Linked DNA regions of Saccharomyces cerevisiae S288C. The protein of the gene in region 1 purifies or fractionates together with the protein of each later gene. This does not show direct contact. Each region holds a gene or a part of one and is shown on either strand. Other genes may lie near its edges.

Region 1 (3,759 bases):
AGTAGCTTTTTCGAAGGCTTTTATTGCGGCATCATGATCCTTTTGCAATGATAGCAAATTACCTATACAACACCATGTTTCGGGCTTATTAGGCATTGTATCCATTAGCCCATTTGCCAAATTTGAAGATTTAACCTTGTCATGCAAATGCCACAGCAAAGTAGAAAAAATTTCCATATCTTTTACCCTTGCCGGTTGTAGGTCTTTCAATCTATTGAAATACTTTAAGGACATATCATAATTAATGATCTCAAAATGAAGTTTTCCTAATTGCACTAGACACCATGGCATTGTGTCTTTAATATGAGATGGGATTTGAGACTCGAACAGTCTTATTGCCTTGAACGAATTGTATTGTGATGACGACCTTAATATTAAAGCGAAATTATACATGATTTCAGGCAGCGTAATTGAATAATCACTCGTTAGTATTGAGTTACTGATTATTAAAGACCTTGGATTTTTCTTGGAAGTTGTTAACCTTCCTGTTGAGGAATATAGGTTTCTTGGAGTTTTGAAAGTTGTTTTATTTATAATGTTATTATTATTATTATTATTATTATTATTATTATTATTATTATTATTATTATTATTATTATTATTGTTATTTTGGTGGTTCCTATCGTTATTTAACAGTTTCGATGGAGGAGTCGTTAAAAGTTTGTTTCTGTTATAAACTTTGGCCAACGAGCTTATTGTAGGCTGTTTGGAGGATGGAGACACTAAGTTCATGGAAATGTTATTTGGTAGCGCAGAAGACGTCTTACTGTTGATTGCAGGGTTTTTAGGAGTTTGAGTATTTTTGTTCTGGCAGGTCCTTATTGATGTGTTCGCTTGTTGCTGCTGTGACCTTGAGAAATGCTGAATGGAAGAAAAAGAAGATGCCGATGTAGAAGGGGGAGAATTAGACGACTGAAACAGTGTATTAACATTATTATTGATATTATTATTGCCGTTTTTGTTTGTTTTTGAATATAAGCTAGGTTGTGAACGAGGTTCGAAATGCGATAGTGATGTAGACGGAAACGATGAAGCTGCATTATTATTATGACTATTACTTTTTTTCCCTGCAATGTCGAAAAAAACCCTCTTGAGATCCACGGTAGCTCTCATTTTACAAATCGCTTCGTAAGATTCCCAAAGGTAAGGATTAATGGCTAATGCTTCAGAATGATAAAATGCTCCCTCCTTAGAATGGTCCAGTTTCATATAAAGATTGCCTAACAGGCAATTCAAAGTGGCCAAATCGGGAATATGGACGAGATTAGAATTCAACACCATATTTATGCGCGTATTACTGCTGTTCGAAGAAAATACATTTATTATTGAGAGAAGAGTGAGGATAGCTTCGTTAACTCCCTGCGAAAGCTGTAAAGCACAACGCCCGAATATGTAAGCGATACCAAGATGATACTCCTTGAATTCTTTGGATATCTGGAACGCAGTGTGGTAGCTTTTATTCAGAAACAGCGAAAGTGCATATAAATATACCGCATCGGACCAGTAAACACTTGATTTATCGAGAATGGAGCATTCAGCATAGAGCAGTTCGGCCAAAAACTCTGCGGTACTGTAGTTCAACTGCTGAATAGCCTGCTGAATGCAGTCCTGAAGCTGTATGATGGTGCTCAAAGCTTGATCATCAAAGCTGGGGATTCCTCTCGAGAGGGTGAACGGTGCTAACTCAGGATTTACCGCCATGCTATTTTTATTATGTATCCTGCACGAAAAGTTCGTGTCGATTTATGAATAGATATGCAGTCACCAAAACAGAGTCTAAAACTCTCACAGCTAGGTATGGTTTTTTGATAAACTTTTCTGTGGCACCTTTGCTTGCACTTTGATCCTTTTGGTTTACTTTCAGCCTGTTCCATCCTTTTGATCAAAAAAAAAAAGGAAAATCAAGCGCGGGTAATAACGGCACCATTAAATACTAGTAGTACTATATAGATGGTATAAAGAAATGATTTAAAACAATACGATTATATGATATTTATACATCTGTTTCAGTTGAGCTTTTTTTCCATAGAGCTGGTGGTACGAAGATGGCTTTTGGCGAGGGCGACCGAACCAGATAGCTGCGTCAAGGCCAATAGAAGCAACAGAACAGTATTCAATGCCAACAATAGCGTGCTTGCTTGTGAGTTTGGTGGATAGGAATTCCAGCACCACTCGTGCAAGACGTACCAAATGGGACCAACGAAGAAGGGCATTCCCGACCAAAAGATCAGTATAGGCAAAGTCCAGTGATACCAGGATAGAAACTGGTAGTGGAGGGACCTTGAAAATAGGACGCCGATGAAGTTGGATGCGATTAGAACGAATGGAATAGTCTTGGCGGGATTGGCATTGAGCACTGCATTTTTCCTCAGCGGATGGCACAGGGAAGACCATAAATCGGGCAGGATGCGAGGGTATCTTGTGACGAACAGTGTGGTGAGCGCTATCAGGTGGCTGATTAAAAGGGCCAAGTGGAACCTCTTATCATTGAAAGCCTCTTCATCCATCATTTGCCAATTGATACTCCATTGGTACATAAACTTCCTGCCGAAATTAAAAGCGCAATGCAGGTACTGTTGCGGAAAGCTGCGCAGGAAGGGCACTGCAACTGCGACTTGCCATGCAATCATCGCAACGAGATCCAACAAAGTAAGGATTACGTTCGCGTCATTAAGGATGAATAGAGAAATCATCATTGCAGGGAAATACAACAGCGCATTCATCTTAATGCTCACAGCCATACTGTATGTTGCGGAGATCACCAGCGCAAGGGACTTCTTTAATTTGGGGCGCTGATGGCACCTGCTGGCCACGATAGCCCCCAAAACCGTGACGACCATAAACAAAGTAGTGAAGCAATCATTGAATAACCGTAGCACGTAAATAGAGTGCAATCTTTTAGAGAGGCACGCCAAGACCACACACCACGGTGGTAGATGTAAAAGGTAGTAACACGCCATTTGTAACGCCAGTGTAAGGAGATACAAGTATCTGAAAAACACTTGCCCGCGCTCAACGTGGTCCATTCCCTCTGTTAGCCAGTACATCATCTTGTAGATCAAGACGTGGCCTGCTGGATACACCAGCGGGCCCGTTCCACCACTCACCTGAGAGTAGTCCAGCATGCCATCGAGCTGAATCATCTCGATCTGCTCCATGTACGCCTTGTAATCGATCTCTGTGTAAGCTACCTTCTTAATGATAATCTTGCACAGCATGCTTTCGAACAAAATCAAAAGGGGCATAACGATAAGATTGGCCCTACAATCGAAGATCACGTAGCGCACACCGTCCTTGAGATCCTGCCACAGATCCAGCGGAGGTCTGACAAATTGCTTCCTTTGCAGAGACTTTTCACCTTGCGGAGACTGTTCACCTTCCATACTACTAGTATCTAACTCTTTCTCTCTCCCATACACACTCTATGATACTGTTTTCACTCCCAACTAGTGTACTGCGTTGTTCTTTAAGTTCGATAGCGAAATTTCTTTAGCTTGTTTACAGCACCCAGCAACCGCACACAGAATGTGACGGCAAATGCATTTTACATGGAAGGCTATCTACAAAACAGCAATAAAGAGTCATGTAAGATTGGGAAATCTCTAATGTGACATTCCATACTTGTTGCAACAATTTTGGGATGCTTCTGCGTCGTACGACCCTGTATTTACCTTCTCTAGCTCATCGCTTCCCAGGGTCCACGTTAATTTTTCAATTTTTTCTTGCGTGTCGAAGATTCAGGTCTCGAGAAATTTGTCA
Region 2 (3,759 bases), on another chromosome or scaffold:
CGACAGCTAATAAATCCGTATCTTTATGAGCCTCCAAATATGTACACTCGGCTGGCTTGGCGCCTCTAGCATCAGATGCGCCTGGAGGTAAGCCATCGGATAATTTACTGACCAAATCCCCGGTCTTAATATCCCATATATTAACGTCCTCGAGAGCACTCGTAATCAATTGTCCTGGTCCACTACCATTACTATTTCCGGATGACGCAGGTATCCAAACACAATTGGCATTGGAGGCTATTACACCAAAAGCAGCTGCTTGCTCAAAACGTTGGTATGATTTGACCATAATAGCTCTTATTCCAGTTTCTCTGGTCCTTCTAGTGGCTACTCTGATATACGTACGACCTTATACAATATCTACATCTATATTATGAGGGAACTGAAAATTTCTGAAAAATTTTCCACTGCTCATCGCGTTTTTTATTTCCGCCTTATTCCCATCTATCTTAGAAGGGTAACGTATTCCATGCAATATTAAACAGCATACCCTTAAGTATATGAAAGGATGTTTATTGCTGATCCTGTAAGCACTCATAGAACTCATCGATAATAAATGGCCAGGCTGCAGTTTCGTCGTAATCGCTTATTATTTTCTGAATAGTGGGGTATCGTTTGAAAAAGAGGAGCAGCATACGCCAGGTGTCTTTACTTATAGTGGTTTTCCCCTCATCGCGAAGGAAACGGAACCATGCCTCAAGCAAATCTGGTTCCATACGCACTGGGTACTCTGGTTGGAAAAATAGCTTCCAATACTGGATGCCTTCGTCTGTATCTATATCCTTTCGATTTGGGTCCAGAATCAAATTGAAAGCATAGTTATAAATCTGTGTGAAATATTGTAAGTCTTCATGTAATTTAACATCTAACGTCTTGATGCACTCTTGCATGTCTGAAATGGTGGAACAGCCTTGCATAAACCATGTTGACAGGAAGTCCTCTCGTTTTAAGGGTTCTTCTAGTTTCTTGTACCCCAGTAAATGGGCTAAGCATAATGTCGCTAAATCTTCAAGATTGTAGCCTAGCTCCTCAATGAACTTGACCAGTGAGTCTATATCAAACAAGTTGTTATTGATATAGTGTTCAAATACCTGTGTTAGCTCCTTCGGGTATACGGGTGGATGAGCCACAGTTGAAACCTCGTCAGTAAACGTCCCTATTTCCTTGTCATAATAATCATTGAGAGCGTAATTGATGTTCCAGTGATTACGCTGCAGGTACTTCCTGGATACCTTGGGGTCACATTTGGTTAATGAGGTGAATGATTCAATTGCCTCTTGTTCCGGGCTTGCATCCTTTCTTTTTATTTTATTATTACTCTATAATGATGCATCACATTTGAGCGCCCCTTGCCAATAAAGTGTTAGTACTTTGAAGAGCCTGAGAACTAAAGAAACGAAATTAAAAACATACCATGTCCTGAATGCAAGAACGTCTCTTCAAAAATTTCTTTTTTTATTGGGTACTTGCATGTTACTGCGTAAGTTCATTAGTTGCATCTAAATTTTCAAACCTTTGGTTACAAAAACAGTAATAGACAAAAGAGCCAAAATATCGAAAACTAGACGAAAGCCAGACTTAGCGGGACTGTAAATATTTATGGCTTATAGTTAAGGTTTTTCCATCATGTCATTTCAGATTACCCCAACTCGAGATTTGAAAGTTATTACAGATGAGTTACAAACACTTTCCTCATACATCTTTCACACAAACATAGTCGATGATTTGAACTCTTTACTTACATGGATGAGCCCTAATGATGCCAAGAGTAACCATCAACTACGTCCTCCAAGCCTTCGTATTAAGAATATCATTAAGGTTCTCTTCCCTAATAACGCAACCACATCGCCATATAGCATGATAAACACTAGTCAGGCAAACAATTCAATAGTTAATGAGGGAAATACAAACAAAGAGTTACAACTACAACTTTTTTCCACGCTCAAAGAGTTTTATATTTTCCAGGTTCGTTATCATTTTTTCTTACATTTTAACAACATTAATTATCTAAAAGATATCCAACGATGGGAAAATTATTACGAGTTTCCTTTACGTTACGTTCCTATTTTTGACGTAAATGTAAACGACTGGGCACTTGAACTTAATTCTTTAAGACATTATCTGTTGAATAGAAATATAAAGTTCAAAAATAATTTAAGAACAAGATTAGACAAATTAATAATGGATGATGATTTCGACCTGGCAGACAATTTAATCCAATGGCTCAAATCTGCTAATGGTTCCTTATCCTCTACGGAATTGATAGTCAATGCTCTTTACAGCAAAATCAATAAATTTTGTGAAGATAACATGAGTAGAGTATGGAATAAAAGGTTTATGATTATGGAAACATTCAACAAATTTATTAATCAATATTGGTCTCAGTTCTCTAAATTAGTCGGTTGTCCAGAGGATGATCACGAACTGACCACTACAGTTTTCAACTGTTTTGAGTCCAATTTTCTTAGGATAAGAACGAATGAAATCTTTGATATATGCGTTTTGGCTTATCCTGATTCAAAGGTTACTTTATTGGAATTGAGGAAAATTATGAAAGATTTTAAAGACTACACAAATATTGTAACAACTTTTTTGTCTGATTTCAAGAAATACATTCTAAACCCCAGCGTAACTACGGTGGACGCTTTGTTGAGATATGTTAAAACTATCAAAGCATTTTTGGTCCTGGATCCAACAGGGAGATGCCTACATTCAATAACCACGTTTGTTAAACCTTACTTTCAGGAGCGGAAGCACTTAGTAAATGTATTGTTATACGCAATGTTGGACTTACCTGAAGAAGAACTAAAGGAGAAAATTAATTTCAATGTAGATATGAAGGCACTGCTCTCACTTGTAGACACTTTGCACGATTCTGATATCAATCAAGATACGAACATCACCAAAAGGGACAAGAATAAAAAAAGCCCCTTTCTATGGAACCTCAAGGTGAAAGGAAAGAGGGAATTGAACAAGGACCTACCAATAAGACACGCCATGCTATACGAACATATACTCAATTATTATATAGCTTGGGTACCAGAGCCTAATGACATGATTCCCGGTAACATCAAATCAAGTTATATTAAGACAAATTTGTTTGAGGTGCTTTTGGATCTATTTGAATCAAGAGAATTTTTCATATCAGAATTTCGAAATCTCTTAACCGACAGATTATTCACTTTGAAATTTTATACGTTGGATGAAAAATGGACCCGATGTTTGAAATTAATAAGAGAAAAAATAGTCAAATTCACAGAAACAAGTCATTCCAATTATATAACAAACGGTATATTAGGACTCCTAGAAACAACAGCCCCTGCAGCAGATGCAGACCAGTCGAATTTGAATAGCATTGATGTTATGCTTTGGGATATAAAATGTAGCGAGGAGCTCTGCCGTAAAATGCATGAAGTAGCCGGACTGGATCCCATAATATTTCCAAAATTTATCTCACTCCTCTACTGGAAGTACAACTGCGATACACAAGGTTCTAATGATCTTGCATTTCATTTACCAATAGATTTAGAAAGGGAGCTACAGAAGTATTCTGATATATACTCACAGCTGAAACCTGGGCGCAAGTTACAACTATGCAAAGATAAAGGAAAAGTAGAAATACAATTAGCTTTCAAAGATGGTAGGAAATTAGTGTTAGACGTTTCTTTAGAACAATGCAGCGTAATAAATCAGTTTGATTCTCCAAATGATGAGCCAATTTGTTTATCACTAGAGCAGCTTTCTGAGTCACTAAATATT
Region 3 (3,759 bases), on another chromosome or scaffold:
ACTGAAATTAAGAGAATGGTACCATTCCCTACCCAAGAATTTGTCAATGAGTTATGCCACGCCACAAAAATTGAACTCAAATTCAACTTTAACTCTAGCTTATTTTGCCACGGAAATTACGTTACATAGGAAAATTATCTGTGCCTTGAATCCTCAAACTCCAAAGGAACTGGTTCAAGTATGCAGGACTGCTGCAAGAACCAGGCTTGTAGCAGCAATTGAATTTATAAGAGATCTAAAAAACGAACATATTAATGCTTTTTGGTATAACTGCTCAACTGGAAATCTGATGCTAATTGGAACATTTGCTGCCCTGCTGTATGTGACTTCAGCTACGAAGGAAGAGGCTATGATTTTCAGAGATTATGTTAGAAATTATACCTGGGTATTGAAGATAGGTTCCAAATACTTTGATAAACTATCGAATGCTTTGAATAATATGCATTTACTATTTGCACAAATTCCTGGTCTTCTGACCGATGAACCGGTGGTCGTGAGCCCTAACTCTAACATCAATTCCGTTAACCCACAAAGGTCAGGTGTACAATCGCAAATCCCAATACAATTTAACGTGGGATCACCTGCCATGACCGAGCAAGGATCTCCTTTAAACCAGTGGAAGAATTTGCCCCAGGAAATCTTGCAACAACTAAACTCCTTTCCCAACGGTACGACCAGTACAACAACGCCAGTAAACCCCACTTCCAGACAAACACAACTAGAATCGCAGGGAAGTCCAGCCATAAATAGTGCTAATAATAATAGCAACAACACGCCTTTACCATTTGCGCCAAATAAGTCTTCTAAAAAAACTTCACAATCTTCACCAAATGTTACGCCCTCTCATATGAGCAGACACCCCCCCTCTAATACATCTTCACCAAGAGTCAATTCCAGCACAAATGTCAACTCTAATACACAAATGAATGCTTCTCCCTTGACCTCAATTAACGAAACCAGACAAGAGTCAGGTGACGCTGCAGATGAAAAAACAGCAGGAAGAGAAAGAACCGCCAACGAGGAATCATCAACGGAACTCAAGGACGATAATCCAAACTCGAACCAGGAAACAAGCGCAACTGGTAACCAAACTATAAAAATGAATGATGATAAAAATGTAACAATTAACACAAGGGAAACCCCTCTGTAATATAAATAATAGCACATAAGTAAAAATGGAATACGGTAATAACTATATAGAAATATCTTCTGCAGGACCAAGGTTACTGAGTGGTGAATGTAAAATTATTTATTCGCTTGCGTTATATTTACATGTGGTATATCCGGATGCATAGAGCCTACTATAGAAATTTTGGGATTTTATCATGTTCTTTGGCGATTTCATTCAAATCACCTGGTTGGTTCATCATCATATGGACATCACCACTTAGGTAAACCTTTTCATCTTCTTTTTTCGACTTTTCTAAATCTTTTAGAACATTCAAATCAGTGACAATCCCTTCTTTGTTCTTAACGCCAGCATCTGGAGTTTTTTCGATTACTTCTTTTTTTGCCTCGTCTATTATACTTTGCCAGATCTCTTCCAATGACTCTTCCTTAGGAACCACAATATCAGTCTCATCTTCCTTCATCCCAGTTGCGTTCTTGCCGACGATTCCTAAACGCAAATTCACAAGTTTCAATTCATCATCTGCGTCGAAGTCTACCTTTCCATTATTATCATGAACCCTCCGTATCAGCTCTTTCAATTTATCAAGTTTTAGCTTATATTTCCTTTCCATATCAATAATGTTCCTTTTCTCGGCTATTACTGCGTTTAATATCGACCCAAATATCATTACCAAAAGTAAAGGTTTGATCATTGTTTTATCAAATCTTGACTTTCTCTTAATGCCCGCATTTGCTGATGCAACAGTTCTAGCGGTTATCTTTATGGGAGCAAGGCTCCTTAAAAATAGACCATTTCTTAACACTTGTCTTGCCATAAACATTTTTCCTTACACCTTTTACGTATGACTTGTCTTTCCTTGTTGTTACTTTTTCCCTGCTCATTATATCACATAAGATGTAAATTAGAGGATGCGTAAAATAGTTCAACTGTGCTACGCCACATCAGAATACCGACAACCATAAACAGCGGCGAAGAGAAGACAAAGCAATGGCAAGAGCGTTGAGGGATATATCATTATTCAATGATATAAGAAAGGATCAAAATTCGGCAGGAGCCAAGCATGAGAGATATAACATGAGAGATCTCCGAAGTAAGAAGAACCAGCATGTAAATGGCATAGATGATTATGAAGATGATTCGCTTGACAGATTTATAAGAAGGAAGAAATCCAGAGTTGTGAAATACATTCCATCATTGTCAGCGTATAATGTGTTCAATGAATTTCCTTACTATCCTACGTCAGCCAGTCAGTTACTAGACGGCAAATTAGACGAATTTCTAATGCTGTCAGAACAATACAAAAGTAGATTACCCAAAATACGCAAGCTAGGATGGAATAGATTCAAACCAATAGGCATTAATAAAACTATGTACGAATTAGAAATGCTAAGGTCTCGAGCACGAGCTCAAAACGCGGAAGGGAACAATGAGGAAGACTTCAGGCAGCACGATTCTAGAGAAGAGGATCCAAGAAACAATGGCTCTATAGGACGCGTGATACTGCCTCATATTCTACAGGAAAATGAAGAATATGATACTGGTGAGGGTGTTACAGGATTGCATAGCATGCCAAATGACAGTATGGCCATACTTGCGAATAACAGTGCTAATAATTCGCAAAATGAGGAAGTATCAGAGGAGGATGAAATATCATACGATTATGATGCAGAGTTCGATCATGTTGTAGATGAGGATGATAATGAGGAGGGAGAAGTGCCGGGGGAAGGTGTGGAAGGTATAGAAGTTCAGAGAGAGAGAATTGTGCCGGATGACTTATTAATGAGACCCACTTCACTGTCACGCTCCCTACAACAGTTTGTGGAAGAGGCTCATCATTTAGATAGAAACCCATATGATATTGACAGTGATAACGACGGAGAAGATTCAAAGGTAGAACTGGACATGAATCCGGATTTTGAAGATGACGTGGGAAGAGAGCATGATTATAATAGCGAATACAGCCAAGAGCCGACTTCTTATGGTGGGATTACACCTGATCTAGCGAGTAATTGGAGGAATTGGACTAGGGAGAGGATAACTAGTTTAGATGAATTAATGGAGAGACGAGCCAGGCAGCAACGAGGTCAAGATTAGAAAAATGCTCTCCTCAGCACCAAAATTCATCTATCTATTAAGATGTATACATACACAAGTGCACCAAAAGTGCTTAGTGGTAGTTATATTTGCTGATTATATCTAAGTTATCTATTTACTTTCTCGGATTCAAAATTAACCATGTTGGGCAAAGCAGTGGATTGTAAGGGAAATTGATCCACTTTACTAGTTTGCAGGTGGATAGCGGGGATGACCCACTTACCACAACTGCACCTAGATCCTTTCCAGTTGTAACCGCCAACTTTACTTGAACAGCCTGGACATGAAAACTTCCCTTCTAACTCTTGCTTGCCTTGTAGTTCAGGTTGCATCCATTTTAAAGGTTCGATGAAAAAATGAGAGCAATTTGCTTGTGACTCTTGAATATCAATAATACGATGGGAGTTGGCGGCCCTCTTGATGAAGTGTCCCTCTGATGATTCCTTACTTGGTGGGTCATGCGCGATGAAAGATGTAGATAACGCCAATTTGGTTCTGCACTTCTTACATCTCACTGCGGTGACCTTGCTCTT

Evidence for each region.
Region 2: the proteins of CDC27 (region 1) and APC2 purify together in Saccharomyces cerevisiae (affinity purification with mass spectrometry; 9 studies listed by BioGRID, with this or other methods). This does not show direct contact.
Region 3: the proteins of CDC27 (region 1) and MND2 purify together in Saccharomyces cerevisiae (affinity purification with mass spectrometry; 5 studies listed by BioGRID, with this or other methods). This does not show direct contact.

The regions. Positions count from the first base shown.
Region 1 is NC_001134.8:67,745-71,503, forward strand, and holds the start of CDC27 (anaphase promoting complex subunit CDC27), read right to left. Parts: upstream 1,702-3,759; coding exon 1-1,701. Other genes in the region: ALG3 (dolichyl-P-Man:Man(5)GlcNAc(2)-PP-dolichol alpha-1,3-mannosyltransferase), read right to left, coding at 2,007-3,383. UniProt on the Saccharomyces cerevisiae protein: Component of the anaphase promoting complex/cyclosome (APC/C), a cell cycle-regulated E3 ubiquitin-protein ligase complex that controls progression through mitosis and the G1 phase of the cell cycle.
Region 2 is NC_001144.5:396,187-399,945, reverse strand, and holds the start of APC2 (anaphase promoting complex subunit 2), read left to right. Parts: upstream 1-1,626; coding exon 1,627-3,759. Other genes in the region: snoRNA-binding rRNA-processing protein DIP2, read right to left, coding at 1-289; NEDD8 ligase DCN1, read right to left, coding at 513-1,319, 1,414-1,416.
Region 3 is NC_001141.2:401,540-405,298, forward strand, and holds MND2 (Mnd2p), read left to right. Parts: upstream 1-2,119; coding exon 2,120-3,226; downstream 3,227-3,759. Other genes in the region: DAL81 (Dal81p), read left to right, coding at 1-1,150; INA22 (Ina22p), read right to left, coding at 1,302-1,952; tyrosine protein phosphatase YVH1, read right to left, coding at 3,334-3,759. UniProt on the Saccharomyces cerevisiae protein: Component of the anaphase promoting complex/cyclosome (APC/C), a cell cycle-regulated E3 ubiquitin-protein ligase complex that controls progression through mitosis and the G1 phase of the cell cycle.